Linked DNA regions of Arabidopsis thaliana. The protein of the gene in region 3 interacts with the protein of the main gene of each other region in a pairwise test. Each region holds a gene or a part of one and is shown on either strand. Other genes may lie near its edges. The genes, in order: IAA20, PHV, TOE2 and GI.

Region 1 (5,186 bases), on a different chromosome or scaffold from region 3:
TGCATATGTCAAGTTTCCGTTAAACTTTGACGGGTCAGGCTAGAGCCATCCAAGTCCAACTATCCCGGTGACTAGCGTTTATATATATGCTACATAACCAGGCCCGGCCCAAGTGGGTAGTGCCTGGGCCTAAGGCCGGACTGTACATAACTGATCATTAATTTGAGTTCTATTTAACAAACATTCTATTGTTATTCCATGTTTTATTTATGATCCATACTCGTAAAATAATTCACTTATTTATTATATAGTTTATATATATATATATATATATATCAACATCGTATTTAATAGTTCACAAACATACATAATTTGTAGAGGATAAATTTACAAAAAAAATGATAGGGAAAAAAAAACACTCGATTAAGTGTCATAATGTGAGGAACGAGATTACGTCATACAGAATCCACAGGGACAAAATGTCACACTACCAGTGTATTTGCTTTGTAAGAAATTTAAAATCAATTCAAGATTTGGTAAATCTATATACAATTCATGAATTGCGTGCGTAATCTTAACATTTTTAAGGATTTAGAAGAACCAATAATATATAGTATCTATAAAAAGACACGCACGTAACATCTCGACTCAATACCTACACGCACGCATGCAAGTATCTTTTACTTTATGGAGGCTATTGTTTATCTATCTATATAAACGTATTAAGCTTCTGCATCCTAACCATGGAAGACCTCCACTTGATTGCCCTCGGGGGCTACTCTTCCATTCAAATTATATTACATATTTTAACACTTTTTGCTTCCATTAAATTACTTTCTTTAATATTAGCAGTTTACCTTAGAGATGAAAGTAACCAAACTTTATGTAAGGAATACAAATACAACTTTAGATAATATAAAAAAAAATTATTAAAGGATAAAAAAATATTAAAAAAATATCATGCATGCAAATTCTAAATCAAAATTGATTGCAAGAAAAAAAAAATACATATATAGGCACTCCATTCATTTAATCACCAATTACTTTTTGAATAGAAATTCTATGAGTTTTAAATTTTATATACGATATCAACGAAGAAATAATTCGACTTCTTCCAATATCATAAAAGTAACATAAGCAAGTTCAAAATTTAATGCTTCATTAAACCAAAATAAAATAAAAAATGCTTCATGAATATATATATATATATATATATATATTTGAAATTATTTGGTAGGGGAAGTAATGTTTTAAAACTTGTATATTATAACAATGAATACACATGTAATAATGTAAACATACATCCAATCAACAAATGAAAGAAACAATCCGATAATTTCAGTAATGTTAAAGCAAAGGGAGGAAACAAAAGGCTATGATTAGTCCAACAAGAGGGGCTACAGAAAAAGAAAGCCACGAGACATGCAAATGCAATCACGCATCTTAAAAGCAAGCCCAAGTTTTGACTGACAAGCAACCACGACGCAGTAAAGTGGAGTTCTCAAAATTAGCGCATATATAAAGTACTTGAACTATGTGTGTATCTTTCCAATAAAATGCAATTCTATAATGACTGCCAAAATCAGTACTTCATATTATTTTTGAGGAAATATCGTATATGTGTATCTTTTTCTAACAAAAGTTTTTTTATTCAATATAGAAAAAAATGAGTATATTTACAATTTACATATCATAAGATTAAAGTTGCAAAGAAATAAAGAGAAGATGCAAATGAAAATAATGGAAGAAAAGAGGGGACAGAGAGGAGGCGGAGGCAGTAAGAAAATAAGAAAGTGAGGAAATTGTAATTTGTAGTGTTGTTAGGGAACATCTCTCCTTTATCCTTTTTCTCTTGATTTTTTTTTTGTTTCTTCAATATTTCTCTAAAACTCAATTGGTTCCAACTAATTAGTACATTTTTTCCAAACTGAAATATCGAAACCTGAATTAAGCGAGGGAACCAAGCCGGTTTCAACTCTAGTGCGTATATGTCTCTAATTGCTTACATGGTTCAATCCAAACCAAGCTACACTATGCTTGCACGTTGTGTTATTTTGTGAAGGATGAAATTATAATAACGAAGTTTGATGAATTGAAATGAAATTAGTTTCGTCACGAAGCACACATCCATTAAAATTTGATTCTTATATTATATTTTCAATGAAATTATATAATTTTACCATAAGGCACGCATCCATTGTACAATGTACATGTTGTGGTTGAGGGAGTCCACGTGGAAACAAAAATGCCACGTGGGTAATGACAAGAAATATAGTCGTTGGTCGTTGTGTCGTGAGTGTGTGTGTTTCCTTTTTCTCGTGCTTGCAAATATGAGAAATGTGACGTCTCCTTAAGTTCCATAGACAAAGGAACTCTCATTAGGTCCTCTCTTTAAGGTGAACCATTCATTACTCATGCCCCCTCTCTTCCTTCGCTTTTTTTTTTCTTTTCAATTTTCAAATTTTCTCTATTTATTTAGTTATTATTACGTCTAACAACTTCTCTTTCGCAAATATATTACGTATGATTTACATCATTATATAGGCACTTTTTACCGGTTTGGAATAGTCCGTTTTAGACCGATTATGGCAGCGCTGATACAACTTGTTTAGTAGTTGACTAATTTTTTTTTATGTCTAAGCTTCGAATAAACGTAATTGTAAAGAAACAAAAATGAGATTTATCTTCTTTTTACATGAAATAAAATCGGTCTAAGACTTACTTATTGGGGGTTTTGATTATTCAAATCATCTGGTGGAACTAAATCGCATTGTTTTATGGTTAATAATGACTTGGACTTGAATCATCGTAGGCTCAAACATTTGTCATGCTTGCATACATATGATGGGTCCACAACTCCACATCGTAACTTTCGTCATAACTTTTGTTAAACAGAAGTAAAGAACTATACCTAATTAACTTAAGAAAGAAGTGTTAATCCGATTACTAAGCAAGCATTTACCCAAACACTTTCCGAAAATAATTTGTTTGATTAAAGTGTTAATTGTATCGAGGTCATATGAAAACACATTAATTTTGGAAATGTGGGAAGTAATGTAGTTCCACAAACGCCTCAATGCGCGTCACGATAACCTTTCATGCATTGAACACGATTAAGAAGATGTAATTTCTCAATATTAACTTTAATACTACTTCATATCATCAAAACAGCTAAATGTATATATTTATTTTTTGGGGTTAGATATCAAACATTAACTAGCGAGAAACCGAACCCACAAAATCATAACCAACACTTTGATCGAATCATCGTTTGACACGTGTTTTGGTCTGCTACACTAACAACATTTTTAGCGGACGCTGTCTCATCATTCCACCGTCGCTTTTTATTTGTGTGAACTTTGAACAAAAATACGAATTAAGACCATATCAAATTTAAAATAAAATAAAAACAAGTCCTAGTTTTATCTTCTATATAAACACACACGTACAAACCAAGCATGGCGGCTCATTACTCATTTGTCTTAACCTAAAATTATTATAAAAAGGATAGAGAGAGAGAGAGAGAGCTAGAGATATGGGAAGAGGGAGAAGTTCATCGTCTTCTTCAATAGAGAGTAGCAGCAAGAGCAACCCATTCGGTGCTTCGTCAAGTACTCGAAACCTAAGCACGGACCTGAGACTCGGACTCAGCTTCGGGACATCCTCAGGGACTCAATATTTCAACGGTGGCTATGGGTACTCCGTTGCAGCTCCGGCGGTAGAGGATGCGGAATATGTGGCGGCTGTGGAGGAGGAAGAAGAGAATGAGTGTAACAGTGTAGGGAGCTTTTACGTGAAAGTGAACATGGAAGGAGTTCCAATTGGAAGAAAGATCGATCTAATGTCTCTTAATGGCTACCGCGACTTGATCAGAACCCTTGATTTCATGTTCAACGCATCCATTCTCTGTAAGTTTCTATGTATACATAATGTCATATCAGAATGATTTATATGTCTTAGAGGTAGCAAATTTCTAACGATATTTTTTTCTTTCTTATAAGTCCGTTTTGATTTTTTTTTTTTTTTTACGGAATGAAAAAATACTTCCGCTCATTACTATTCTTTTGTTTGAAGGTTAATATCGCCGTAATAATCGCCCATCACTATTTCATAGGTTGTTTGTTTGTTTGTCAAAAAAAAAATCTGGATAACGTTATATGTCAGAGTTATTATTCCGTAGGTAGAGTTTATATATTGCGCAGTGTGTAAGTACTGTGTAATGGGTAAATTGTAAAAATGATGAAAACTGATGGGAATTGAAAAAATGGAAATATATAGGGGCTGAAGAAGAAGACATGTGCAATGAGAAGAGTCACGTGCTAACGTACGCAGATAAGGAAGGTGACTGGATGATGGTTGGAGATGTTCCTTGGGAGTAAGCACTCTTTTCATCCTTTTTTGTATAATTAGATTGTTAATTATGCAGAAAATTAACTATATGATCATCCTTATATATATTTTTAATTTGTGGGTTGATTTTTTGCAGGATGTTCTTGTCTACTGTGAGAAGACTGAAGATTTCAAGAGCTAATTACCACTACTGATATATAAGTCTACGTACTTGTTGTGTTTAAATCGAAGTAATGCCAAGAAAAAAGTTTTTGCCTGATGTAAATCAATGGTCGGATATTTATAATATTATTTTCATTTTTCTTTTGTGATAGATAGTACATAAATCTTGAACTCACTCTGATTATTCTCGGTAGTACACAAAAAAATAGTAAAAAAAGGAAAAAACAATTATCCGATCGACAATCATGTTTCAGTGCATTAAACCAGTCAGACCATTGGTCATTGGATATTTGAATTTATATAATTAGTTGAATGCTTTTATAAATAAAATTATAGGATGTACTTTCTTTTGTTTGTCAAATAGGATGTAGTCCAGTTTCAGAAAATACTAGTAGTCAAGAAAACCAAGCGACAAATTAATGTCGAGAGACAACTTCTAAATTTTCGAAGAATTTTTGGATTTGATTATCGATTTGACCACAATGTACATTTGATATATACAAGGAAGGAGGCAGGGGAAACAACAAATTCCCACCTGATATTTCCTACTTTGTGTTTTGGAAATAAATGGGCCTTCTCCTTTGATTAAGCCCAAGTTCGATCCCATCTATAAATAATGCAACTTAAAACTCACAAAAGTATTCGGCTTACGCAAAATATAGGGTTTCTGTTTATTCCAATCATAGCTTCCGGATCAAGCAAAACAGAGACCGAGACGGAGCAAATCGCTTCTA
Region 2 (8,806 bases), on a different chromosome or scaffold from region 3:
CGTTAGATCGAAATCCTTCATAGTAGGTGATGATCAATCTTGTATTTTGCGTATATATATACTTCACATAAGAAATAAATATATTAATTTATATATTTATTTCTGTCCAAAAATCATAGAAAGTTATAAGAAAACCAAAAAAGAATAGAAAAGAAACAATGTTTGGACAAATGGATACAAACCAATTGAAAAATCGTAACCAACCAAAAATACAGGTTGTACCCCCAGCAAAGGCAGACCTGTCTTTGTTTTCTCATAATTTATAGGGAATTTAATAAAAAAAACCCTCAACTTTGGCCAGATCCATTTTTAAACCCTGAACTATATTTTTAGTAAAACAAACCCTGAACTAAAACCTGTTAATAAACTTAACCCCACAGTAATTAAATATTAATGGGATATTAATTTCCAAAAATCGACCAAAGAACAATGACAGAATCCGTGATCCAACTGAAGATCGTCCACCTCAAAAAGTTCTTTATACACGTGAAAAAGTTCAAATGGTAAAATAGAAAACAATGAATTATGTTTCACAAGATCTTCCTTTTCAAATTATTTAATTTAATCTTTGCATATTTAGACTTGTAGCAACTATCAACAAGTCGGACACAACAAACGTTCATGCAAGCGTAAAGCAGTGCCAAAACCACCCAAGAAACCTCAAAGACGACCAAGGAAAAAACAGAAAACAATGGATGAAGAGAACCCTATCACTCAGCCAATACAATCTTCTCTTCAAAGTTAATGCTTGACAAGTCTTTACTTTAGAATATCTTGTCCCTCTGAAACGATTGTTTTTTTTGTGACAAATATTGTTGTGTTGCAACAGCTTCGATAGTTATGTTGGTTGGATTTATTTAAGTATGACTCTTTGGATTATTTTAAGTTGTTGTGTCTTTCTTTCAGCTTCTAAAATCCAAACTAATTAAGCAATTCAAAATCATTTAGAACGTTTTTTTGTAATAAATTCAAAATAGTTTTAAAGAACATCATGTGGTTTTTGCGCTAAATACAAATGTCTCGTTGTTTTTTTTTTTAGAAATTAATATCCCATTAATAATTAATTACTGTGGAGTTAAGTTTATTAACAGGTTTTAGTTCAGGGTTTGTTTTACTAAAAACATAGTTTAGGGTTTAAAATGGATCTGGCCAAAGTTAAGGGTTTTTTTCATTAAATTCCCTAATTTATATTCAAAACTTTCAAAACAAGTTAAAGGAAATAAAACCAATTAAGGTTAACCAAAAAAAACAACAGATTTCACGCATCTCACGCGCATAGTGACATTGTACATACTTGTCATGCATCGTCTCTTCCACATGGATACAAAAGATAGGCATACAACAACACCATCATCATGAAAATATGTACATGCACATACATACATACATACAACGTCTTAGGACTAGAGAGCAAAGAGGGTAGGGAAAATTTGATGCTATGTTTGGGTAGGCCACTGTCACAGAGCTTAAAGAGAAGTGCTTTCTTTCCCTAAGTTAGCAAATTACCCCATTTTGTCAAAATTCCGTTTCTTCTGACAACAACACTTACGTTTTACGAATATAAATAGTTGTAGCATGATTTATTTTTGTTACCAATAGATAAACATATTTATTCTTATCGATTGCCATTAGGACTAGGGATTCTGATAATAATTGATATGTCTTAAAATTTGCAGAGACAACAACTTTGCGTGTTGGTTTTCTCATCTGTTTGTGTTTAGCCTTAGTCTGAAATCTGAATGCATTTAAGTTTTTCAAAACTAATCACTTTCAATCCTTTTTAATTGTCAACATCTACTTGTCCTTTTAATCTAATCCAAGAATATTGAATACAGAAACATGTTTACACAAAGAAAATTAGGTGGTAATGATATGAATTAGAGAAGTGTAATCAAGATTCCATCTCATATTAAACCTATTTAAAAGAGTTGTAAGAAAAAATAATAAAACAAGTAATTATTTACTTATAACTATGCATCAAATATTACGAAACTTTTAAAATGAATTGTTAATCTAATTCAATCAATATTATAATTATCTATTTAACTAATAATATTTATATGGTGGCAACCAAAGAATATATATGGGTCCAACTGGTAATTTAGATGAATTGTAAAATTTTTCGGAATAGTTGCAAACTATAAAAAAGAGTTGTACGAGAAAGTTGTATAATAAAATTGAGAATAAAACTTTTTATAACGTTTTTGATAAAGATTTTATAAATGATAACTGTCAAAGTTGTACAAACTCTACCGCTTTGATAATGAGTTATCAAAGACATAAACTTTTATCCTAGTTAATCATTTTAACTTTTAGAATTTAAGCTTTGAATTAAAATTCAAGCTTAGCTTTGTATAAGAAAAAGTTTAAATATTTTTACTTTGCCTTAACAGTAAAAAGCTTTTAACCAAAAACATTGAATTCAACCTACTCTCCCAAAAATTTCACCTTTAATTTTTTTTGAAAACAATATTTACCAGTTTAGTGCATCTTGTTGGGTTGTTCCTTGTCCTTTCTCTCTCAGAAAGATCTTTACTTTTACTTTTTCAGTATTTTCCTCTCTCTTCTCTCTCTTCTCTCTCTTCTCTCTACTTAGCTGCCTCGCTTTTGCTCCTTTTACCTCTTTCCATCTTTCAATCTCCTTTGAGAGAGAGAGCAAATGAAAAAAACCCAAAAAACTCTTTTCTCCAACCATTACCATCTCATGAACACTCTCACAGGAGGCTCTCTCTTCTCAGAGAGCCTACCCATCTAATATTTCTTCATCTGAGTCTCTTTTACTTCTCTCAAAGTATCGATCTTTATTCTTCTTTTTGTAAACCCTCTCTCTCTCTCTGATTTCTACTGACCTGTTTGGAAGATATGATGGCTCATCACTCCATGGACGATAGAGACTCTCCTGATAAAGGATTTGATTCCGGCAAGTACGTTAGATACACGCCGGAACAAGTTGAAGCTCTTGAGAGAGTTTATGCTGAGTGTCCTAAACCTAGCTCTCTGAGAAGACAACAGCTTATTCGTGAATGTCCCATTCTCTGTAACATCGAGCCTCGACAGATCAAAGTTTGGTTCCAGAATCGCAGGTTATTATTTCTTTATTAATTGTCTTTAATGGAATGTTTTTTGTGTTCTTTGATTGTTTCTGTAATTATAAAATTGAATTTCTTTTGTTTGTATTTGGAGACAAAAATGTTCTTGTCTGACAATGTTTTTGGTAATCTTCTTGTTTTTGGTCTAATTGGTGATTGTTAAGCTTTTGAAACTTTCAGATCTATGTCTATAAATTTGTTTTTCTCTTTTTGCTTATTAGGCTTTTGTTGACACAGTTGAAAGTTAAAATCACAAGGAAAAGTGACAGCTAATCAAACTGTCTTTGATGAGCTTTAAAACGCCTCTCTCTTTTTTTCCTTCTGCAGAGAATATGTTGGAAATTACATTATCTTTTGTTCTTTATGTCATTCTGGTATCATTCTAAAGCAAAAAAGTGTGTGTTTCTTCTGTTCATTTTTCTATTATTTCAACACATTTATCATACTGCTATAGGTTTGTCTTTAACTTTTCTGGTTTCTTTTGGTTGTTTTGTTGACTTTTTAGATGTCGAGAGAAGCAGAGGAAAGAGTCAGCTCGTCTTCAGACAGTGAACAGGAAGCTGAGTGCTATGAACAAGCTTTTGATGGAAGAGAATGATCGTTTGCAGAAGCAAGTCTCCAACTTGGTTTATGAGAATGGATTCATGAAACATCGAATCCACACTGTAAGTCCTTGAATCCCTTTTGCTAAATGCATTGTTGAGTTGTTATCTTTGATGCTTGTATATGTATTTGTTCTTTAAGAGTTCTCTGTTGTTAGAGAGTGACTGGTGAAATCTCTGTGTTGTGTCTTAGGCTTCTGGGACGACCACAGACAACAGCTGTGAGTCTGTGGTCGTGAGTGGTCAGCAACGTCAGCAGCAAAACCCAACACATCAGCATCCTCAGCGTGATGTTAACAACCCAGCTAAGTAAGGAAGGCTCTTTTTTTGTTTGTGAATTTCTCATTGTGACATTATGAGAAGAGACTAAATGGAGTGTTTTTTTGGTAGTCTTCTCTCGATTGCGGAGGAGACCTTGGCGGAGTTCCTTTGCAAGGCTACAGGAACTGCTGTCGACTGGGTCCAGATGATTGGGATGAAGGTAGATAAGTTGAAGTATTTTAACGTTTTCATATGTGGAAATGAAGTGGTTTTTAGAAAATGTTTTAATATGTATTTTCATGGTTATGTATGTAGCCTGGTCCGGATTCTATTGGTATCGTAGCTGTTTCACGCAACTGCAGTGGAATAGCAGCACGTGCCTGTGGCCTCGTGAGTTTAGAACCCATGAAGGTAATGGTGTTTTCTTTTTATTTTAATCTTGTGTTGTAAGAAGCGGAAATTCTACGAAGGCAATCTAAACTTCAAATACTGTGTAGGTCGCTGAAATCCTCAAAGATCGTCCATCTTGGTTCCGTGACTGTCGATGTGTCGAGACTCTGAATGTTATACCCACTGGAAATGGTGGTACTATCGAGCTTGTCAACACTCAGGTCTGTTTCATAAATCCATGAGTGTTGTTTTTGTTCCTTTAAAATGTAATGATCATTATTCATGGTTGGTTATCAGATTTATGCTCCTACAACATTAGCAGCAGCTCGTGACTTTTGGACGCTGAGATATAGTACAAGTCTAGAAGATGGAAGCTATGTGGTGGGTATTAGGACCTGGTTTTGTTCATCTATGATTCTATTTATTAGATTTGCCTTATATTTGCTTTTTTGCCTTCAGGTCTGTGAGAGATCACTCACTTCTGCAACTGGTGGCCCCAATGGTCCACTTTCTTCAAGCTTCGTGAGAGCCAAAATGCTGTCAAGCGGGTTTCTTATCCGTCCTTGTGATGGTGGTGGTTCCATTATTCACATCGTTGATCATGTGGACTTGGATGTAAGCATATTGGATTTGTAATAGCACATTAGGTTTCGTAAAAGCCTTCTATTTATGTTGATTGATACGTTTTTTTGGTTTGGTAGGTCTCAAGTGTTCCTGAAGTCCTCAGGCCTCTTTATGAGTCTTCCAAAATCCTTGCTCAAAAAATGACTGTCGCTGTAAGTTCCATATAAACCTTATCCACCCGTGACCTGATTAGGCTCTCTTTATGAGTTTTACTTCCACATTTCAGGCTCTGAGACATGTGCGCCAAATTGCTCAAGAGACTAGTGGAGAAGTCCAGTATAGTGGTGGACGCCAGCCTGCAGTTTTAAGGACTTTCAGCCAGAGACTCTGCCGGTAATACATTTCCTTGATAAGCTTAGTTTTATTTTCTAAAGCATTGTTCTAATTGCTTTTCTTGAAATTCAGGGGTTTCAATGATGCTGTAAATGGTTTTGTCGATGATGGATGGTCTCCAATGAGTAGTGATGGAGGAGAGGATATTACGATCATGATTAACTCTTCCTCTGCTAAATTTGCTGGCTCCCAATACGGTAGCTCATTTCTTCCAAGTTTTGGAAGTGGTGTCCTCTGTGCCAAAGCTTCTATGCTGTTGCAGGTGCCTATATCATGTTTTGACACTTGTGAATAGACAAAAGAACCGGTTTCTTCAATTTCTGACATCATTCTCTTTTTTATCTGCTCTTGAAGAATGTTCCACCCCTTGTATTGATTCGGTTCCTGAGAGAACACCGAGCTGAATGGGCAGACTATGGTGTCGATGCCTATTCTGCTGCATCTCTCAGAGCAACTCCATATGCTGTTCCATGCGTCAGAACCGGTGGGTTCCCGAGTAACCAAGTCATTCTTCCTCTCGCACAGACACTCGAACATGAAGAGGTACAAAGAATCTCAAGAACATTTTCCTTGTTGTCTATTCTTTTGCCATGCCTATAATCCTATTTTGCTTACTTGTTTCTCAGTTTCTCGAAGTGGTTAGACTTGGAGGTCATGCTTACTCACCTGAAGACATGGGCTTATCCCGGGATATGTATTTACTGCAGGTTTGCTTTATACTAAAGACACTCAGGGATTCTTAAAGATGAGTTATTGAAATTGAATTCTTGGTTTCTTTTTTGCTTTTGTCCAGCTTTGTAGCGGCGTTGATGAAAATGTGGTTGGAGGTTGTGCTCAGCTTGTCTTTGCCCCAATCGATGAATCATTTGCTGATGATGCACCTTTGCTTCCTTCTGGTTTCCGTGTCATACCACTCGACCAAAAAACAAATCCGGTAAAAAGAAAACTGTTTATGATAAGAAATTTGATATCTTGAAATTGACACAGTCCTTTTTCTTTTATTCCTGTATGTAACGTTACAGAATGATCATCAATCTGCAAGTCGAACACGGGATCTAGCATCGTCCCTAGATGGTTCCACCAAAACCGATTCGGAAACAAACTCTAGATTGGTCTTAACAATAGCCTTCCAGTTCACGTTTGATAACCATTCCAGAGACAATGTTGCTACAATGGCGAGACAGTATGTGAGGAACGTTGTTGGTTCGATTCAGAGAGTGGCTCTAGCCATTACGCCTCGTCCTGGCTCAATGCAACTTCCCACTTCCCCTGAAGCTCTCACTCTTGTCCGTTGGATCACCCGTAGTTACAGGTACTCTTCTTAGAACCTTAATCTAAAGACTTGTAACAATATAGAATGTGCTTATCTCATTTAATAACTCAATAAAATGTTTTTCTCCGATGTTTTAGTATTCATACAGGTGCAGATCTGTTTGGAGCTGATTCTCAGTCCTGTGGAGGAGACACATTGCTTAAGCAACTCTGGGACCATAGTGATGCCATATTGTGCTGCTCCCTGAAAACTAATGTAAGAATTCTGTTTTTTTAAGAGGTGCTCAATCTAGTTTATGGTTCGGTTTGGGAATTGTCTGATTATTTTTTGGTTCTCAGGCCTCACCGGTATTCACATTTGCAAACCAAGCTGGTTTAGACATGCTTGAAACTACACTTGTGGCACTTCAGGATATAATGCTCGACAAAACACTTGATGACTCTGGTCGTAGAGCTCTTTGCTCCGAGTTCGCCAAGATCATGCAGCAGGTTAAACATTTTCTAGCTAGTCTTTTAAGTCTTTCCCTGGAAAATACTAAGTTTGGATTGAATCTTCTTCAGGGATATGCGAATCTTCCGGCAGGAATATGTGTGTCGAGCATGGGCAGACCGGTTTCGTATGAGCAAGCGACGGTGTGGAAAGTTGTTGATGACAACGAATCAAACCACTGCTTGGCTTTTACCCTCGTTAGTTGGTCGTTTGTTTGATGAAGGAAAAGGTTGGTTATGTTAGATATTAAAAGTTAGGGGATGTTGTTTTTGGCTAAGGTTTGTTGAATTAGAGAGTCCATAACTCTATATGTAATATGGAAAAATTCTGATGATAATCTCTTTAATCAATTATGACATTATGTATGGCAAGATATTTATTTTTATTTATGTTTTGGACTTGTTTCGTTTTTCTTCATCTTCCTTTTACGAAATTTGATATATATATATATATATATATATATATATATATATATATATAGATAGATATAAGATGAATTATTATTAGTAATCTTATAAGTTTTTATCATGTGTTAATGTACAAATATAAACACAAAGATTGGCCTCAAAAGCATGTCGAATAAACTAAATTAATCATCATAGTTTTTGGCAAAAAACGTTTAATGGACTTGGTAGCTCATATGTAACATGAAAAATGTATGCGGAGTTTAGGTTGTATGCATAAATAATAATCATCCAAAAGATTAGATTTGAATGAATCTTTGACATTAAATGATCAATAATCATTACTAGTATTTATCTATTAAATTGAAATAGTATCTATCACAAGAAAACTAGTCATGATGATGCTGTTCTTTGACTTCTAGGCTGGAGGAACCTATAAACTTTTCTTTTGGGTAGTCTAGTTAGTAATGGAAGTTGATAAATAGCTTTTCTTTTGGACAGAAACCTACAAAACTCTTATGGAAGTTTTATACCGACCAAAAATATGGAAGTTTTATTTATGTACAATCTCTTTTTATCATTTTTCAGCATAATTTAAAGAAAATGGTGGAATATTTTTATATAACCAATAACAGAATTTTTTAAGTCTAAGGACAGCTATTTTAATCCGCTGTCTACATGAGTTATGTAAATCGATCGAGGTTTTACCATTTACGGATGAATGATACACACCAACCATAATCAAACCGTAAAAACTATTGAAAACCAGAACTAGCTACTACACTAGTACTAACTACTTAACCTAATGAATGAATAATTAACTAGAAAACGATAATGAAAAACAGATCAATAAATGAAAATGTGGGGCGGGTGATTTGACCGCTGCGTGATGAATGTGAATGTGGGGGCTCATGCAAAAAAAAAAAAAACATACAAGTTGAATTTTGTGTTGTGAAAAAAAAGAACGGTGAAAAGACAGAAGTGATTCTGTTTGGGACAGATCTGGCTTTGTGTAAGGAAATGCCTTACCCGATTCTGCCTTCTTCCTCCTTAGTCAACATTGCTGATGTCATTATTTCTCACCCATTTAATCCCTATAGAATTTATAAAAATGCAGTCCATATATTCAAAAAAAATTCTCATATGATAAGAGAATTGTGTATGTACAAACTTGCAAAACAAAATATACTTTTGAGTATTACTGAAGATGTCTAATTCCGTTACAGAAACTGAAAGACTGATTTGAATCAAACTGAGATTAAACTGATTTTTAAGGAAGGGATCAAATTATCATTCATGAATATGAATTCATTTTGTTTTTTTTTTTTCGGTTATAGCTCA
Region 3 (8,009 bases):
AATCAAACAATAAGATCGGAGAACGCATATTAACCTTCAGTTAAATCAAACAATTAGGGTTTCACAGAGATCTAGACAAAGAGCAGACAGAAGTGAAGATGAACAAAGGTTTCTTCTTTTTTGTTCTTGATTCTACATTTACACAATGTATCCTCTGTTTTGATCTTTTCTTGCTATCGAACAGGAGTTTCTTTGGATAATTGTGTTCCAAAATTCTTCAAAGTTTACTTACCTGATGAGTCCGGAGATGATATGGTAAAACACTCTTCTCTTCTCTCTGTTTTTTTTGTGGGTTTTTCTGAGATGTTCTTCTGTAGATTTCTATTTGGTTGAAACTTTTAGATTGTATAATGCAGGTACTACCCATTTCTTTCACCAGATTTTTACCAAAGTCTTTGCCTGAAACTGTAACTGTTAGAAGCATTTCTGGAAATATTTGGAAATTGGAGTTAAAGAAATGTTGTGGTGATGATGATACTGAGAAATTCGTTATGGTTAATGGGTGGAAGAGGATTGTGAAGGACGAAGATCTCAAGGGAGGAGATTTCTTAGAGTTTGAGTTTGATGGCTCTAGTTGTTTCCATTTCTGTATCTATGAGCATAGGACAATGTGTAAAAAGATAAGAAGAAGTTCAGATCAAAGCGAGGAGATCAAAGTGGAATCTGATAGTGATGAACAAAATCAGGCCAGTGATGATGTTTTATCTCTTGATGAGGATGATGACGATTCTGATTATAATTGTGGTGAAGACAATGATAGTGATGATTATGCTGATGAAGCTGCTGTCGAGAAAGATGATAATGATGCTGATGATGAAGATGTTGATAATGTTGCTGATGATGTTCCTGTTGAAGATGATGATTATGTTGAGGCTTTTGATTCTAGAGATCATGCTAAGGCTGATGATGATGATGAAGATGAAAGACAGTATCTGGATGATCGTGAGAACCCATCTTTTACTCTGATCCTTAATCCGAAGAAGAAAAGCCAACTGGTAAGTAAAAACTGAATGTGAAAGAGCTTTTCATTTAACATCGTTGGGTTGTGAGTTTTTATGATGTTTTTTTTCATAAAGCAGCTCATCCCAGCTCGGGTTATCAAAGACTATGACTTGCACTTCCCTGAGAGTATCACTCTTGTCGATCCACTTGTGAAAAAATTCGGGACATTGGAGAAGCAGATCAAGATTCAGACAAATGGTAGTGTGTTTGTCAAGGGATTTGGCAGTATCATCAGAAGGAATAAAGTGAAGACAACGGATAAGATGATATTTGAGATCAAGAAGACTGGTGATAATAACCTGGTTCAAACAATCAAGATTCACATTATCAGTGGATGATTATTTATATCTCTCTCTCTCTCTCTCTCTCTCCATCTCTCTGTCTTTAGTTACGTGTTTTGGAGTTAAATCAAGATTATTGTGGTGTATTGAATTAATGTAAGAGTTTTTAATTTCTAAAACTTATCAGATCTATACAAATTTATAGTCTCTCAAGTCTCAATAGCTTTCTTCATTCATACATATAGAATGCATTGTACTTTACGCTGTTCATATTAATATCAGAGACATTATAGTAAAATGGCAAATGGGTTTGGGTTCTGTTTTGGTATTATCCCTCAGTTTATGTTACAAATCAAAAGCAGAAAGATAAATCACACAATGACAATAAGTACAACAGATCTTGGGAGAATTCAGCGTCGTTTTGGCTGGCCTTCCAACTTATTCCAACCTCAGGGCTGTGTAGAACCTGCACGTTCACATACAAAGTATGTTATTACGTGTAGTATTGTAGGATCTTAGGAAAACTATTGCCTCAAATATGTGTTTGAGATTGACAGAGAAGCAGAAAACAGGAGGGTGATAATACTACACAACTTGGAACTCTTCCTTAGTCTTCTTCTATTCGCTAAGCATTCATCATACTTTTCATGTTTCCATCAAGATTCATATGAATACAAACATCTCAAACTCTTTTTCTTTAGTGGTCTTCTATCAAAATTTTTTTTTTTTTTCTTTTGGATTGTAAACGTAACGTATAACAGGAAGAGGAAACTACAGCTTGTGTGCTGAGCCAAACGATGAGTTGAATGTTGTTGTTTCCAAGAAAGTCTTACCTTGAGTTATGCGGAGGAAGGAGGAAGCTATGGTGGTGGTTGTGGGCGGTTCATGAGATTGTGTTGGTGCTGAGATATGTAATCAGATGGGTGGATAACATAGAGACCGGGCTGATTCAGATTGACGAAGGGCTGAGAAGGATGATGAATAGCTGTGGATGAAGGAGGGCGTGTAGCTGAGAGTGAGAATCCTGATGATGCTGCATTTGAAAACAGTGGCGGTGCTGTAGCTGCTACGGCGGTCCCACCACTGGACTGATCATGCCCTTGCCATGTCCTGGCTGGGAAGCTTTGATGAGAACGTAACATAAGCCCTTTCTCTGGTGTTCTTTCCTGGAGACAAGAATTTAACTTTTAGGACAGAAGATTATTCATTCAAATCTTCAAGAATATCACAACATAGAAGAAGAACTAACAAGCAACAACATAGACCTGTTCTCAAAGGATATCAAAGAGTTGAGCTCAAGTACTTAACTGATCAAATATCACAACAGTAACCACTTGATGAACATCTAGCTGAATTTCATATCACACAAATTACTCATAGGTAGGGTAAAGTTCGATAAATTTAAAATTGTCATTCTATTTCATATTGTATGTTAGTTCTGGACAGAAGGTAAAAATTGTGAGGCAGTGACAAACAGTTGGATATAACGAGATGTGTGCTATGGTATTTACTATTTACCATGGGTGAAAAGAACGCAGAAGGAAGGGCATGCCGGTTATTAAGATGGTCTGAACCCCTCTTCAAGAAATTGAAAGGCGTATCACATGCCGCTGCAGCCATGTGGTTCTCCATCTGTGAGTATATCAAATGAAGAGCAAGAAATTCATGAATAAATGAAAAAACATGAGGGCTCGAGCTAGCAAAGGAGACAGTATCTTTGAGTTCCAGATTGCTATGACATATCGACAAAGAAACATTTGACTAACAGTTGCAGCAAAACGCATATGAAAGTAAAGTAAATCATATTTGGTGCACTGAAGAAAAAATTGCACCATGGTGTTCCTTCCACATACGGAATTGTTAGGGACATGGTGAAGCCGGAGGGCCCTATCTTTTTGCTTCGGACCATCTCCTAGTGAAAGAGAGATTCCCAAGTTGAGGTCGAGCTTAACATTAGCTAAATAATAAGATCAGGAAAACAAGTTAGTCGTAGCTTTTCAAATATTGAGCAGAGATATCAATGATGACAGCAAAAGCTGCATAGCATCGACCAGTTTAACAAGCAAGGAACATCAATTACATTACCTGCCTCGGGAATCATTCGGGATGCATGAGGCTCAATTAAGGAAGCAGCTTCCCTTCCCTTCCATTGTACGGCTGCCTTGTCACAACCCCTAATTCCATAAGAATCTGAGCAATTAGTCATGAATTTTCCTAATAGATCAATAATTCAGGATAAAAGACTTCCTCATAATGTAATTTACAACCATCACTAGCGTACAGCTCATACTCAGATGACAATCATCCCAAGATAGATATAAATGTCTCATAGCCATCAAAATCTCTATATATAACTCATAATCACAAACGGGTCTTCCTGCTAATGGTTCTAACAGAAGCCCTTTTCAACTAACGAAAAATTACCAAACTCTTCATCTGAACCACTCCACTCTTTTTAGCAATGACTGACAACCACATTCAGACAAAAACACAAATAACATAGCATTTGTAAAAGCCCATACTTAGATCCCAGGAAAAGTTAATTACATGTTTCCATGAAGCTGCTCCATTTGAGCTCCCCACCCGCCAATCTTTTGCAAAGCAACTCCTTGATATCTAGAATTATTCCTTGAGAAACCAGAGCTCTGTCGCCGAAGTACTTGCACAACTTCCTCTTTGGAAAGATTCGCCATCTGTAAAGTTTGAAAACCAGATAAGAACAAATCAAAGCGTACATGTCTTCATTTGTACATCTGTAATCAAAACCTGCTTGAGATCCTCTTCATAATCGCCAATAACGAAATTGATGTCAGCTTCCAGACCCCGGAATTTGACAGCAGCTCGATCATACGCCCTACACCAACGAAAGTTGAACTTAGGAAACAATTGTATCATAACGAAAAAACAGTTGAGTGATCAATAAGATCAAACAAAAAAATATCATTTCCAAAGGCATTACCTAGCTGCAGCATGGGCAGTATCAAATCCACCTATTGAATTCAAAAGTTAAAGCTTTTATTAGAGAACTAAGATCCCAGCAGAAATCAGTTCACAGTAGTACAGCCATTAGAATCCATACCTAAATAAACTTGTTTACCGCAATCCCTGCAACCATGAAAATTGACAAAAAAGAAACTTGTAGATTAATACAAAATCTAAACCAAGCTCTTCCATTTTCGACCAAAGATCAACAACTCATCTAAGACCTATCTAAAAGATAAATCAATCAGTAGTAGATATACCAGATATGCGATTCCCATCTGCCTGTCCTCCGATAGAAAGTGACGCCTCTATACTGAGAACTCTTAGACCTAGGACCTCTCCTGCTTTTCTTCACCGGCTGTGATGGTGGCTGCATCACCCGTGAAGCATCGCCACCACCGCTCCCGCTACCTATAAAGTCTCCACCTTGTTTCCCCCTCTGGAAGGAAATATCAACGGTGCTCCTTGAACTTTGAGCGCTCGAATCCATAAAGTTCATGCCTTTAGCAACAGGAAAAAACTCCTTAGTCATCATCACAGCACTTCTTTCATCATCATCTTCTTCTTCTTCTTCTCCTCCTCCTTTCAGTATCTCAAATTGAAACTTGACCGTTCGTGTAGAGCACAACTCATCTTCACCATCTATACAGCTAGAAGCTTCAGCATTAACAACAGAAGAGTTCGACGTCACCGATTCATCCATCTGATTCAAAGAAACCCCTTTAACAGTAATCGAATCTCGTTCGTTCTGAGTAGACTCGGTCGAGTCGACGTCGAGATTGAGATCCAGCATCAATCTCAAAAAAGTCAACAAAAAAGCAAACAAAACTCTGAGCTTTCACAACAACAACAAAAACTATTTCTTCAAGCTCTTACTTACACATTGATCAATAAATTCAACGATCGCCGTCGATTTGAAATAAACAGAGCTCATAAATCACATTACATAGGTGAAAATCAGCACGAGTATGGAGAAATCAAACGGAGATTTAGATTCTGAAATCAATCAAAAACACGACGGAGGAGGAGAAGGAATAATAACCAAAGAGAAAGAAGGAAAAAGCTCAATCACTAAGGAGAGAAATGAGATTGAGGAGACATGGAGATGAAGAGTTGAGTATTGGTCTATGGGGATTTGAAGAGACAAAATAGCTATCGCCGGACGAAAGAGATAATCGTCGGCGATTAGAGAAAATAAAAAGAGAACGGGGAATGATGATGGGACGTAAGCCTGTGGGTTAGTGGCAACAAAGGAACATTTTAACATTTATTTATTCCTTCCATCTTTCTCGGCAATTTGATACCGGTTTTGCCTGTTTCCGGTTTGAAGTAAAAACGTGCTACTTGTTTTTGTTTTATTAGCTTGGTTTAAATTTATGATTAGTGCTTTTACAGTTTTACTATGATAAATTTACGGTTTAAACTGTATGTGTTAAGCTTTTCTGTGATTTCTTTACCAAGATAAGTTATTAAATACAGTATTAGTACTAAATAGATCTGTTAAGGCCTAGGGACAATGAGGTGCATTTTGTTCATGGAATGAGGATTTAATGGATGTGTTCATCTTGGTTAAATCAATTTGAAGCGTGTTCTTCGAAACATTTTGTAAACACATCTGAAAATCATCAAATTTAATTGGGGTTTCACTTTTTATCCTTGAACAAACTCAACTAAAGTGATTTAGTAATTCAAATTTATAGAATGAATCAAACGAAATTCGTTTTTGTATCCTATATAGTATATCTTATTATTAATCTGCAAACAAAGATTGGTAAAGAAAAGCGAATCTACACTATTATATTCACAACTTTGAAGACACATAAAAACCAAAAAACACTTTGAAGTCACATATTCATAGCTTTGAAGACAAAGCATTTGTTTTCATTTAATGGCGGGTCCTATATTTGCAGCTACGTCCTCCTCACAAACAAAAATCTGTAAAGACTTAAAAGAGTGAGATAGAATAATATGACTTTTTATTGATTTATATGGATAACAAGTATCCAACCAACGTAACAAATGTGTCACATGTAAAAAAAAATGTGTCACATGTTAGAAAAAGGTGTAGAAGCTAGCTATAATCAACAATTACATGCATAAAGTAACAAAAGTTATATCATTTTAAGAAGTTGTTATTATTACAAAAACGAATGTGTATGGAAAATAGTTAAAGATGATGGGGAAAAAAATCACTAACATCAGGTTTGATAGCTTTAGTTTTTCTTACTGGACATAGTGATGAAATTTTGTTTTAATTTCTAAGGTTTTGACACATTAATTACTATTGAAATTGAATGATGTATGTTATCTTCGCCTTGTTTGTAGCCAAGTTTTAGTAAGGCCTTGAATGAGTGTGGTTTTTAAACTAGTTTTTGGTTTTAATTTTTTCTAAAATCTATTTTGTAGCCATTCAAGATTTTGAGAAAACAAGTTTTCCTAAAATATAGGAAATCTAGTTTTTGAGTGTTTTAACAATTTTTCAAAGAAAACCAAAATCTATGTTTTGGGAGTTTCTCTCTCAAAAACAATCGATCACATTTTTTATTTTATTTTTAGATTTGTTTTGTAAAAAAAATACTATCCATTAACATAAAAACCAAAATCTAAACAAATTACCATTCAAGTTTTTTAAGAAACTAAAATCTACACCAAAAACAAAAACCAAGAAAATCAAAAACTAAAAACCAAAAACCAAAATCCAAAATCCAAAAACCATTTTAAAAACTACAAACATTCATGGCCTAAATAAAAATGAAGCATGTGTTTCCTAGTTCCTACAATATCACATTGTAAAAATCTATCAAGGCTAGAGAAAATTATCTCTGCATCAACTGTGTCTCAATTTTCTTTTAGATTTTCATTGAATGAATAGCTATAAGTAGAAAAAAAACACATATCCGATCAAACGTTGATAACACAAACATATTGTATCAAATCTTATGGTATCTTGTATTCATTAGTATTGTCTAAATCTCTAAGACTACTACATAGCTTGAGAGCAATGTGATACAAAGAGATCAACAAAGAAATGGATAGGTTTCCAAAATGGATAATTTCGAAAGTCTAAAACAAAATATATTTTGAGTACAAGAAGACATAGGAAAGAACAAAAGCCAATAAAGGGGGATTCTTTTACAATCAAAGGAAATTATTGTTTATTAAAAATAGAAATAAAATGTACGTAACAACGTATTATGTTCTTAACACAGGTTACGGGCGAAAAAATGAAAATGACCTAAAAATATCTATTCTTTGTGTCCATACGAATCTCTTTTTTCTTTGGAAATGTTTATTGAGTGGGGTAGGTCAAATGAACATTCCGACTGGTTTTAGCCGGTTGCCAAAACTTAAGAGTGTCAGAAAAATCTCGAAGATCATGGATTTTAACGAGTAGTATAAAGCCACGTGTACAACAGAGATTGAACCCCAGCCATTCAACTACTCTCTCAGCCATCTTAGGTCACATATCTGATCGGACGGCCCATGTCCATTCTTACTTTCCTTAAATTTAGGGAATTTAACAGTTTCACAATTTATCTAGTTTTTTTTTTTCATTTTCATGCCCACATTCCTTTCTTTCAATCTCTTTATCAAGATTTTACCAAGTACAACCTTAATTTTACTTTTGCCTAAATGTCAAAGTGAAAATTAGGTTGTTAGAGTTACATACTTGCACATTAAAGCGTCTATACGGAACGATATTGATACATTAAAGAAGAAAAAAAACAGAGTCTTTATCTAGAA
Region 4 (9,261 bases), on a different chromosome or scaffold from region 3:
ATGAAAATATTTTAAAAAGTCAACATCAGTGCTAATTTCAAATTGACCATACATTAGCACACAAGAAGACTAACAAAAAAAATGAGTGAATAAAGAAGAGAGTGAGTGGGGTTGATACATGTCACCGTCCAAAATGTGTCTGACCCTTCTCATTGGAGCTACAAGAGCCGACCCTTTGCCTCATCATTTGTTGACTTCACTCTCCTTTTACATATTTAAATTATAACTTGCTCATATTTCCATTCATTGTGTTCGGTTCTAGATTGTTCCATCCACTTTCTTTTTTCTCTTACTTTGAAATTTAGAAATATATGAATACTTGACAAATATTTGAATATTGTAACTGATTTGTTTGTTCGTAATACTTGACAAACTTTTTTGAATATACACCTTTACATATATTTTGAGTTGAGATAAAAAGGGAATTATGTTAGTTTATGGATTATATTATGTAAATACCACATCTAACTATGATCGGATGAAAACTAAACCAGCATATCTCTAATCAGTAATATTTACTAAATTTATATATCATTAAAGATTTTTTGAATTTAGCAAAAAAAGAAGAAGATATCATTAAAGATTTTTAAATTTAAAGTATAACATAATGAATAAATCAAGTGTTGAGCTTAGTTTCGCGTTGCAAAGATGTTCATTTGATTTTTTTTTTTTTTTTTCCATTTGATTTTTCTTATACTAAATTGATTGATGTCACGGTCCTTCTGTGAAAAAAGTATATTGTACTGTATAAATTTATAATAGTCATACTTGAAGATAACTAATATCATTTTCTAAAGGTTTTGTTGACAATGAAATGGGTAATGATGAACATCTCGTTTGCTAAACCACAAAAGAAATAATTCGTTGGACTATAACTTAAACTTATAATATATCAACTGAAATGCCTACAATTTGAGAATACGCCTTTTCAAAAAGTTTTAGAATTTTATAAAAATTTCTCCACCATAATATTACTTTAATAAAAGCTTGTTATTAAAATGATATATTAACAAAAAAAAAAGAGGTAGGCAAAGTAGCTTTTATTAAAATTAATGTTTTCCCTAATTGGTAAATCATAAACCAAAAAATTGAGGTAATTCTTAATATATTTACTATGATTAGAATGATACATTAATGTAACATTTTATCATCTTCATTAATAATAGTAAGTTCTCCTCAAAATTACAATTTGATATCAAAAAATATATTTGTATTACAAGCAATTACTGAAAAATTAAAATTACAATTTAGCCCAGTTACATAACTCCACGTAAGGTTTGAGCCCATCACATCACATGGTACATGACCAAAGCCCAGTTATGTTACCATGGAGTATTCTTCAGACAAGAGCCATCCAGACAGAAGTGGACCACACAATCACGAATCGTATGGAGATCATTACAATATATTGCTCACATCTTATTGCGCCACGTCTCTTATTTGGCGAGTGATCAACGTCCACAGATCTCTTGCTCCACTCTGATTGGTACACGTCATCATTTTATTGTGCTACTTGTTTATGTGGTACAGTAGAGACAAGTGGTAAGATTTTAAAATATCTTAAAAGATGTGTGAGGCCCATTTAGATATTTTCTCAACGGGCTGTTCCTCAAAAGCTGCCCGTTTATCTACAACCATCGAACGGCTCGAAACTATTCTGGGCTAGCTGCCCGAAATCTCTTAAAGGAATTTGTTGAGTGGGCTTGAATCAACGGTGGATAATTCGAAGGTGTACGTAACATCTCGTAGCATCTGAACTTAGCTCCCCTCAAAATATCTGTGGACATATGTCACTAGCTTTTTTTTTGTGTAATGAAACTATTAATTAATTAGGCAATCACATGAGAGATGTTATATACTTAAATTAATAACTCAATAATACAATCATGACCACCAAACCTTGAAATAAAATAATCTCTCTGATTACTTGTACAAATTCTTTACCAATATATGCCATACTGTGAATGTAATGGTTTATTTTAAAACAGCCAAATATTATTGATATAATTATATGTTTAAGTAGATTTTAAACTTAGCTCATGGTTAAAAATAGACAGAATTTTGGAGTAAATCTGAGTTTACAAAATTTATTTATTAGGATTAAAATTAATTACTTAAATTGGCAAACATTTTTCTTGGTGATTGTAACATACAATATACGAATTTGAATTCGCATTGTGATTCCAAAACAACACTAACATAAACTACCAGTAAAATTTTTTAAAATAAAATTTCATATATATATGCTTAAAAAATGTAACAAAAATATGGTAAATTTTTTAACCATGGTATGGGTGGAGATGTATGTGGGATGATGATGGTTATATGGTAATGGCGCATAAAGGTGGTGGCAAAGGCAAGGAAATATCGATGACACGTAAGCAGACGGGAAATCTTAAACCGAGTGGAGAAGCCTCCAAATCTCTTTTTTCTCTCTCTCTCTCCTAAGGCCACCACAATCTCTTCTTCTGTGTATGTATTCTTTTTTTCTCCGATATTCGTCGATCTCTCAAAAATATCCTCAAAGCCAAAAAAAAGCAAGAGTAGAGATAACCAACCAACAAACTCATAGGAAGACATATTTACTTTCAGGTCTTTCTTCTACTACCTTTTTCGTGGTTTTTGGTTGATTGATTCTCAGATGAGATTTTTTCCCGAATCATTTGATGTCTTTTTTTTTTAAATAAGTTCTTGGTAAATCACTGTTTCTACTAGCATTTTTTGTTTTCTCAGCTTAGATTTGTTGTTTGATTTGACATCTTATCTGATTGAGATTTTGTTCTTCTGAATTGTTGTTACAGGGTTTAGCTGTTTGATTCAGCTTCGATTTAGTGTACAGTGTGTTGATTAGTATAAAAAGGATTTAAAAGAATCTGGGAGATGTGTATAGTGATTGTTCTTGCTGGCGAATGTTAACACTACGTCGTATTGATTCTCGATTGATAGTAGAAGAAAGGTGTTAGTTAGATTGTTCGTTCATCTAGTTGGGGTTTAGTTTCGGTTCCTGGATGGCTAGTTCATCTTCATCTGAGAGATGGATCGATGGTCTTCAGTTCTCTTCCTTGTTATGGCCTCCGCCACGAGATCCTCAACAACATAAGGATCAAGTCGTTGCTTATGTTGAATATTTTGGTCAATTTACATCAGAGCAATTCCCAGATGACATTGCTGAGGTACTTGATACCTAATGAGTTTAATAAGAGTATTCTCTTAGTAGTGACGTTTTGATTCATGTATAATTTATCTGTATCAGTTGGTCCGGCATCAGTATCCATCAACTGAGAAGCGACTTTTAGACGATGTGCTGGGTATGATCAACATTTATGATCCACACTTCTCTTTTTGTGTGTGAATGTCTATCTGATTTTCGTTTTCTGATGAAACAGCGATGTTTGTCCTTCATCATCCGGAGCATGGTCATGCAGTCATTCTTCCAATCATTTCATGTCTTATTGATGGCTCGTTGGTGTACAGCAAGGAAGCTCATCCGTTTGCCTCTTTCATATCTTTAGTTTGCCCAAGTAGTGAGGTATATAATAGCTGTCTAGTATCATGCTTACTGATTTGGTGTAACCTATACCATTTTGTGCTAACATGTTCACTATCCTAACAGAATGACTATTCGGAGCAATGGGCTTTGGCATGTGGAGAAATCCTTCGCATTTTGACTCATTACAACCGTCCCATTTATAAAACTGAGCAGCAAAATGGAGATACAGAGAGAAATTGTCTGAGCAAAGCTACAACTAGTGGTTCTCCGACTTCAGAGCCTAAGGCTGGATCACCAACACAGCATGAAAGGAAACCTTTAAGGCCTTTGTCTCCATGGATCAGTGATATACTACTTGCTGCTCCTCTTGGTATAAGAAGTGACTATTTCCGATGGTAAGTAGACTCTGTTACTGATGCTTCTATGTGTTCATGCGCCGGCCTCCTTCTTTTATTTTGGTCTCTCTGCTGAGGTCTATGTATTGAGGTTCTGTAGTGGATTAAGCTTACTGACAACTAAAAATGTTGCTTATTATTTACAGGTGTAGTGGTGTAATGGGTAAATATGCTGCTGGAGAGCTCAAGCCGCCAACCATTGGTGAGTTCAAGAATTCCATGTTAATATCCCCTGGAACTGGATTTTGATGATAATTCTGATCAATAGAGTTGTTCTATCACTTCGTTCATAAATGTGTATCCATCACCTGTGGCTATAGAATGTGTTTTGAGTTGCTTCCTATAACTTTCATGTTGTCCTACTTTGGCAGCTTCTCGAGGATCTGGTAAACATCCTCAACTGATGCCTTCAACCCCAAGATGGGCTGTTGCTAATGGAGCTGGTGTCATACTGAGTGTTTGTGATGATGAAGTTGCTCGATATGAGACTGCTACGCTGACAGCGGTCGCTGTCCCTGCACTTCTTCTTCCTCCGCCAACGACATCCTTAGATGAGCATCTAGTTGCTGGCCTTCCAGCTCTTGAACCATATGCACGTTTGTTTCATAGGTATTGTTTCTGGGCTTACCCTTTCAATTAGGGTTTATTGGTAGTAGTCTGTTGCTAGTTTTAAGGTTGTGCTTCCTCGAATCCCTAGATCAGAATTGTTTTCTCACTTTCCTGTTATACTGTCAGATACTATGCCATTGCAACTCCAAGTGCTACGCAGAGACTTCTTCTTGGACTCTTAGAAGCACCACCGTCGTGGGCTCCAGATGCACTTGATGCTGCTGTACAGCTTGTGGAACTCCTTCGAGCTGCTGAAGATTATGCATCTGGTGTAAGGGTAAGCGTAATATGAATCTCTTAATTACCCTCCAGAAAGCTAATTGTGTCCCTTGTTATAAAAAAAGTCAGCTTTGGTATGTCATCAAAGAAATCAGCTTTGATCACATTCTTTTTCTTGGTGCAGCTACCCAGGAACTGGATGCATTTGCACTTCTTGCGGGCTATAGGAATTGCTATGTCTATGAGGGCAGGTGTTGCTGCTGATGCTGCAGCCGCTTTGCTTTTCCGCATACTCTCACAGCCGGCACTGCTTTTTCCTCCGCTAAGTCAAGTTGAGGGAGTAGAAATTCAGCACGCGCCTATTGGTGGCTACAGTTCAAATTACAGAAAACAGGCATGGTTCCTCTTTATATTTTTCTGCTATTCCATCTCTGATATGCGATTGGCATTCTACTAGAAAATTATATTGAAACTGACTCATTTCATCTCAACAGATAGAAGTTCCTGCAGCAGAAGCAACCATTGAAGCCACTGCCCAAGGAATTGCCTCAATGCTTTGTGCTCATGGTCCTGAAGTTGAGTGGAGAATTTGCACTATATGGGAAGCTGCTTATGGTTTGATCCCTTTAAATTCTTCGGCGGTTGATCTTCCCGAAATCATAGTTGCTACCCCACTGCAACCTCCTATCTTGTCATGGAATTTATACATTCCACTCCTCAAAGTACTTGAATATCTTCCACGGGGGAGTCCTTCGGAAGCATGCTTGATGAAAATATTTGTTGCCACTGTGGAAACAATACTCAGTAGAACTTTTCCGCCTGAATCTTCCAGGGAACTAACCAGAAAAGCTAGATCGAGTTTTACCACAAGATCAGCGACCAAAAATCTTGCTATGTCTGAGCTTCGTGCTATGGTCCATGCTCTCTTTTTAGAATCATGCGCTGGTGTGGAATTAGCTTCACGCCTACTTTTTGTTGTGTTGACTGTATGTGTTAGCCATGAAGCACAGTCTAGTGGTAGCAAGAGACCGAGAAGTGAATATGCTAGTACTACTGAAAATATTGAGGCGAATCAACCTGTATCTAACAATCAAACTGCTAACCGTAAAAGTAGGAATGTCAAGGGACAGGGACCTGTGGCAGCATTTGATTCATACGTTCTTGCTGCTGTTTGTGCTCTTGCCTGTGAGGTTCAGCTGTATCCTATGATCTCTGGTGGGGGGAACTTTTCCAATTCTGCCGTGGCTGGAACTATTACAAAGCCTGTAAAGATAAATGGGTCATCTAAAGAGTATGGAGCTGGGATTGACTCGGCAATTAGTCATACGCGCCGAATTTTGGCAATCCTAGAGGCACTCTTTTCATTAAAACCATCTTCTGTGGGGACTCCATGGAGTTACAGTTCTAGTGAGATAGTTGCTGCGGCCATGGTTGCAGCTCATATTTCCGAACTGTTCAGACGTTCAAAGGCCTTGACGCATGCATTGTCTGGGTTGATGAGATGTAAGTGGGATAAGGAAATTCATAAAAGAGCATCATCATTATATAACCTCATAGATGTTCACAGCAAAGTTGTTGCCTCCATTGTTGACAAAGCTGAACCCTTGGAAGCCTACCTTAAGAATACACCGGTTCAGAAGGATTCTGTGACCTGTTTAAACTGGAAACAAGAGAACACATGTGCAAGCACCACATGCTTTGATACAGCGGTGACATCCGCCTCAAGGACTGAAATGAATCCAAGAGGAAACCATAAGTATGCTAGACATTCAGATGAAGGCTCAGGGAGACCCTCAGAGAAGGGTATCAAAGATTTCCTCTTGGATGCTTCTGATCTTGCGAATTTCCTCACAGCTGATAGACTCGCAGGGTTCTATTGTGGTACACAAAAGCTTTTGAGGTCAGTGCTTGCAGAGAAACCGGAGCTGTCTTTCTCCGTTGTTTCACTGTTATGGCACAAACTGATTGCTGCTCCTGAAATCCAGCCCACCGCAGAAAGCACCTCTGCGCAACAAGGATGGAGACAGGTAAACCTCAGCACTTCTATTTCCCAGCTCGCTTACAGTTTCCTTGGTAGTTCTTTACTAATCCAATTAAGTCGCTCGACTTCATACACTGATCATATTTTTTATATATCAGGTTGTTGATGCGCTATGCAATGTCGTATCTGCAACGCCAGCGAAAGCAGCAGCAGCAGTTGTCCTTCAGGTCCAAATTACTCTTTGACTTTTTATTTCATTTGTCAGGAATGCAACACCTGTGTAAAGATTAAACTGCGGAAAACCTATGGCCTGTGTTAATGTTTTATAATGCTTGGTTCACTCATTTGATCTCTCATGAATTTATAAAAATTAAGCTTGGAATTTATATGCAACACTTGTTTTAATATGCCAAGGATAGGAAATAAGGAAGAAAAAATCTGTGTAAAATAATGGCTTGTTTCAAGCTCATATGTTGAAGGATTTACTCTAATGCTCTATTGTCTGAAATGGTCTTGTGTTATTTACAGGCTGAAAGGGAGTTGCAGCCTTGGATCGCCAAAGATGATGAAGAAGGCCAAAAAATGTGGAAAATCAACCAACGGATAGTCAAAGTGTTGGTGGAACTCATGCGCAATCATGACAGGCCTGAGTCACTGGTGATTCTCGCAAGTGCATCAGATCTTCTTCTGCGGGCAACTGATGGAATGCTTGTTGATGGAGAAGCTTGTACATTACCTCAACTTGAGGTACTGCACTGTTATAGATTGCTCTTCAATGCCCTTCTTCGGGCTAGAGTAATAATCATTTTCTGATTCCACTGTATTTTAAACTTTTGCAGCTACTTGAAGCCACGGCAAGAGCAATACAGCCGGTGCTAGCTTGGGGGCCATCTGGACTAGCAGTGGTCGACGGTTTATCCAATCTATTGAAGGTAAAAGCAGAATCGAACAGAGCCTATGGTTTCCTGCGTCGATTGTAGATGATCAGTAGTAGGTCCAGTTACCAAAGTGCTTAACCTTGTTCACATCTTTTTGCTTCTATGCAGTGTCGTCTACCAGCAACAATACGGTGCCTTTCACACCCAAGTGCACACGTACGTGCCTTAAGCACGTCAGTACTACGTGATATCATGAACCAAAGCTCCATACCCATCAAAGTAACTCCAAAACTGCCAACAACAGAGAAGAACGGAATGAATAGTCCGTCCTATCGATTCTTCAACGCCGCCTCAATAGACTGGAAAGCCGATATCCAAAACTGTTTAAACTGGGAAGCTCACAGCTTGCTCTCCACAACTATGCCTACTCAGTTTCTCGACACTGCGGCTCGGGAACTCGGCTGTACTATATCCTTGTCCCAATAACGAGCACCCACTTTTGTTTTTGGTAAATTTTAGTTCTCTAGACAAAACATTTGGACGTAGACCAAGAAGAATATATATATAGTTTGTTGTATGTAATGTTGTAATGATGAGTGACTGACGCAATCACTCCCACCGGCGTTGGATTTGCTCTCGCTCGGTGTCTTATATAACTCAACCTCTTCTCTGTACATTTTAAATGACGAAGTAGCTCAATCTTTTTTTTTGTGCGTCTGGTGTTTAGTCTTCAGTGGATTCTAAATCGTAATGTATAGAAGTGAAAAATTTACAAATTTACTTATTTCCGAATACTCTTAAAACAGCAAAAATTAATATTGCAAAAGATAATTTATAGTATTTTAATCTTTTTCCTCCAAAAAAAACATTAAAGGGTAAATTAGTAATTAACTACAGGAGCTTCATATTAGGTTGGAAAACCCTAAATATGCCGCTTATAACAGACCTGAGCTTAAGCTGTGGTGGCGCCTCCAGAGTCTGGTAAAAGAGCTTAATCCTCCTCTCGCGATCTTTCTCGGCATCCAAAAATGGTACGATTATCGTTCTTCAACTCTTGTCTGGTTCTCCAATTGCTCGTGCTTCATTTTGCGTATCGCTCGTTTTTCATTGCTGGTTTTGGGATTGGAGTTTTAAGCTCAAATGTTTTTTGTATTCCCTTACACGATTTGCGACTGACGGATCTGTTTTTTTTTTTTCGTATTCGTGTGTGTGTAGTCTCTAGTTGCGAACGAGGAGTTTCAGCATATTCTGCGTGTGCTCAATACTAATGTCGATGGGAAGCAAAAAATTATGTTTGCTTTGACCTCAATCAAGGGTATTGGAAGGCGATTGGCTAACATTGTGTGCAAGAAGGCTGATGTTGACATGAACAAGAGGTTTGTTTCTTAGCTTGGTTCTTAATACTTTCAGTTACTTAGGAATTCTATGGATAAGGATTATGAATCTTGCGAGGTTTTGGATGTTAGTAGAAAATGTAGCTCTTTGACTAGAATTGTACCTGCTCGATCTGGTTTGATTGATTTCTAGGAAATCAGATATTTAGGTTTTCTTTGCACATAGAACTTCTCTAGATTGATATTCTTGAAGAAGTTTGGTCTAGTGTGTGTTTTTAAATGTTTTTTCCTTTGCTGGTATATTCAGGGCTGGAGAACTAAGTGCTGCTGAGATTGATAACCTCATGACAATCGT

Evidence for each region.
Region 1: the proteins of TOE2 (region 3) and IAA20 interact in binary tests that used the Arabidopsis thaliana proteins (3 or more experiments, as listed by UniProt).
Region 2: the proteins of TOE2 (region 3) and PHV interact in binary tests that used the Arabidopsis thaliana proteins (3 or more experiments, as listed by UniProt).
Region 4: the proteins of TOE2 (region 3) and GI interact in binary tests that used the Arabidopsis thaliana proteins (3 or more experiments, as listed by UniProt).

The regions. Positions count from the first base shown.
Region 1 is NC_003071.7:19,304,386-19,309,571, forward strand, and holds IAA20 (indole-3-acetic acid inducible 20), read left to right. Parts: upstream 1-3,328; 5' UTR 3,329-3,475; coding exon 3,476-3,848; intron 3,849-4,218; coding exon 4,219-4,315; coding exon of another isoform or gene 4,316-4,319; exon of another isoform or gene 4,320-4,426; coding exon 4,427-4,484; 3' UTR 4,485-4,686; downstream 4,687-5,186. Other genes in the region: AT2G46995 (uncharacterized protein), read right to left, coding at 5,083-5,186.
Region 2 is NC_003070.9:10,794,801-10,803,606, reverse strand, and holds PHV (Homeobox-leucine zipper family protein / lipid-binding START domain-containing protein), read left to right. Parts: upstream 1-2,513; 5' UTR 2,514-2,862; coding exon 2,863-3,083; intron 3,084-3,594; coding exon 3,595-3,754; intron 3,755-3,884; coding exon 3,885-4,000; intron 4,001-4,081; coding exon 4,082-4,172; intron 4,173-4,267; coding exon 4,268-4,363; intron 4,364-4,449; coding exon 4,450-4,563; intron 4,564-4,639; coding exon 4,640-4,723; intron 4,724-4,801; coding exon 4,802-4,957; intron 4,958-5,043; coding exon 5,044-5,118; intron 5,119-5,192; coding exon 5,193-5,299; intron 5,300-5,371; coding exon 5,372-5,561; intron 5,562-5,653; coding exon 5,654-5,842; intron 5,843-5,925; coding exon 5,926-6,006; intron 6,007-6,092; coding exon 6,093-6,233; intron 6,234-6,321; coding exon 6,322-6,611; intron 6,612-6,709; coding exon 6,710-6,827; intron 6,828-6,910; coding exon 6,911-7,060; intron 7,061-7,132; coding exon 7,133-7,279; 3' UTR 7,280-7,483; downstream 7,484-8,806. UniProt on the Arabidopsis thaliana protein: Probable transcription factor involved in the determination of adaxial-abaxial polarity in ovule primordium. Specifies adaxial leaf fates. Binds to the DNA sequence 5'-GTAAT[GC]ATTAC-3'.
Region 3 is NC_003076.8:24,205,202-24,213,210, reverse strand, and holds TOE2 (target of early activation tagged (EAT) 2), read right to left. Parts: upstream 5,523-8,009; 5' UTR 5,059-5,522; coding exon 4,526-5,058; intron 4,389-4,525; coding exon 4,363-4,388; intron 4,274-4,362; coding exon 4,243-4,273; intron 4,138-4,242; coding exon 4,050-4,137; intron 3,977-4,049; coding exon 3,831-3,976; intron 3,458-3,830; coding exon 3,369-3,457; intron 3,241-3,368; coding exon 3,050-3,240; coding exon of another isoform or gene 2,927-3,049; exon of another isoform or gene 2,916-2,926; coding exon 2,802-2,915; intron 2,633-2,801; exon of another isoform or gene 2,450-2,632; coding exon 2,144-2,449; 3' UTR 2,117-2,143; exon of another isoform or gene 1,750-2,116; 3' UTR 1,468-1,749; downstream 1-1,467. Other genes in the region: AT5G60130 (AP2/B3-like transcriptional factor family protein), read left to right, coding at 99-108, 185-255, 357-995, 1,080-1,340.
Region 4 is NC_003070.9:8,059,390-8,068,650, forward strand, and holds GI (gigantea protein (GI)), read left to right. Parts: upstream 1-2,361; 5' UTR 2,362-2,592; intron 2,593-2,801; 5' UTR 2,802-3,008; coding exon 3,009-3,173; intron 3,174-3,253; coding exon 3,254-3,308; intron 3,309-3,386; coding exon 3,387-3,529; intron 3,530-3,613; coding exon 3,614-3,885; intron 3,886-4,031; coding exon 4,032-4,087; intron 4,088-4,256; coding exon 4,257-4,494; intron 4,495-4,620; coding exon 4,621-4,771; intron 4,772-4,897; coding exon 4,898-5,107; intron 5,108-5,207; coding exon 5,208-6,740; intron 6,741-6,852; coding exon 6,853-6,921; intron 6,922-7,222; coding exon 7,223-7,441; intron 7,442-7,533; coding exon 7,534-7,626; intron 7,627-7,740; coding exon 7,741-8,058; 3' UTR 8,059-8,401; downstream 8,402-9,261. Other genes in the region: PFL (Ribosomal protein S13/S18 family), read left to right, coding at 8,601-8,603, 8,788-8,948, 9,214-9,261. UniProt on the Arabidopsis thaliana protein: Involved in regulation of circadian rhythm and photoperiodic flowering. May play a role in maintenance of circadian amplitude and period length. Is involved in phytochrome B signaling. Stabilizes ADO3 and the circadian photoreceptor ADO1/ZTL.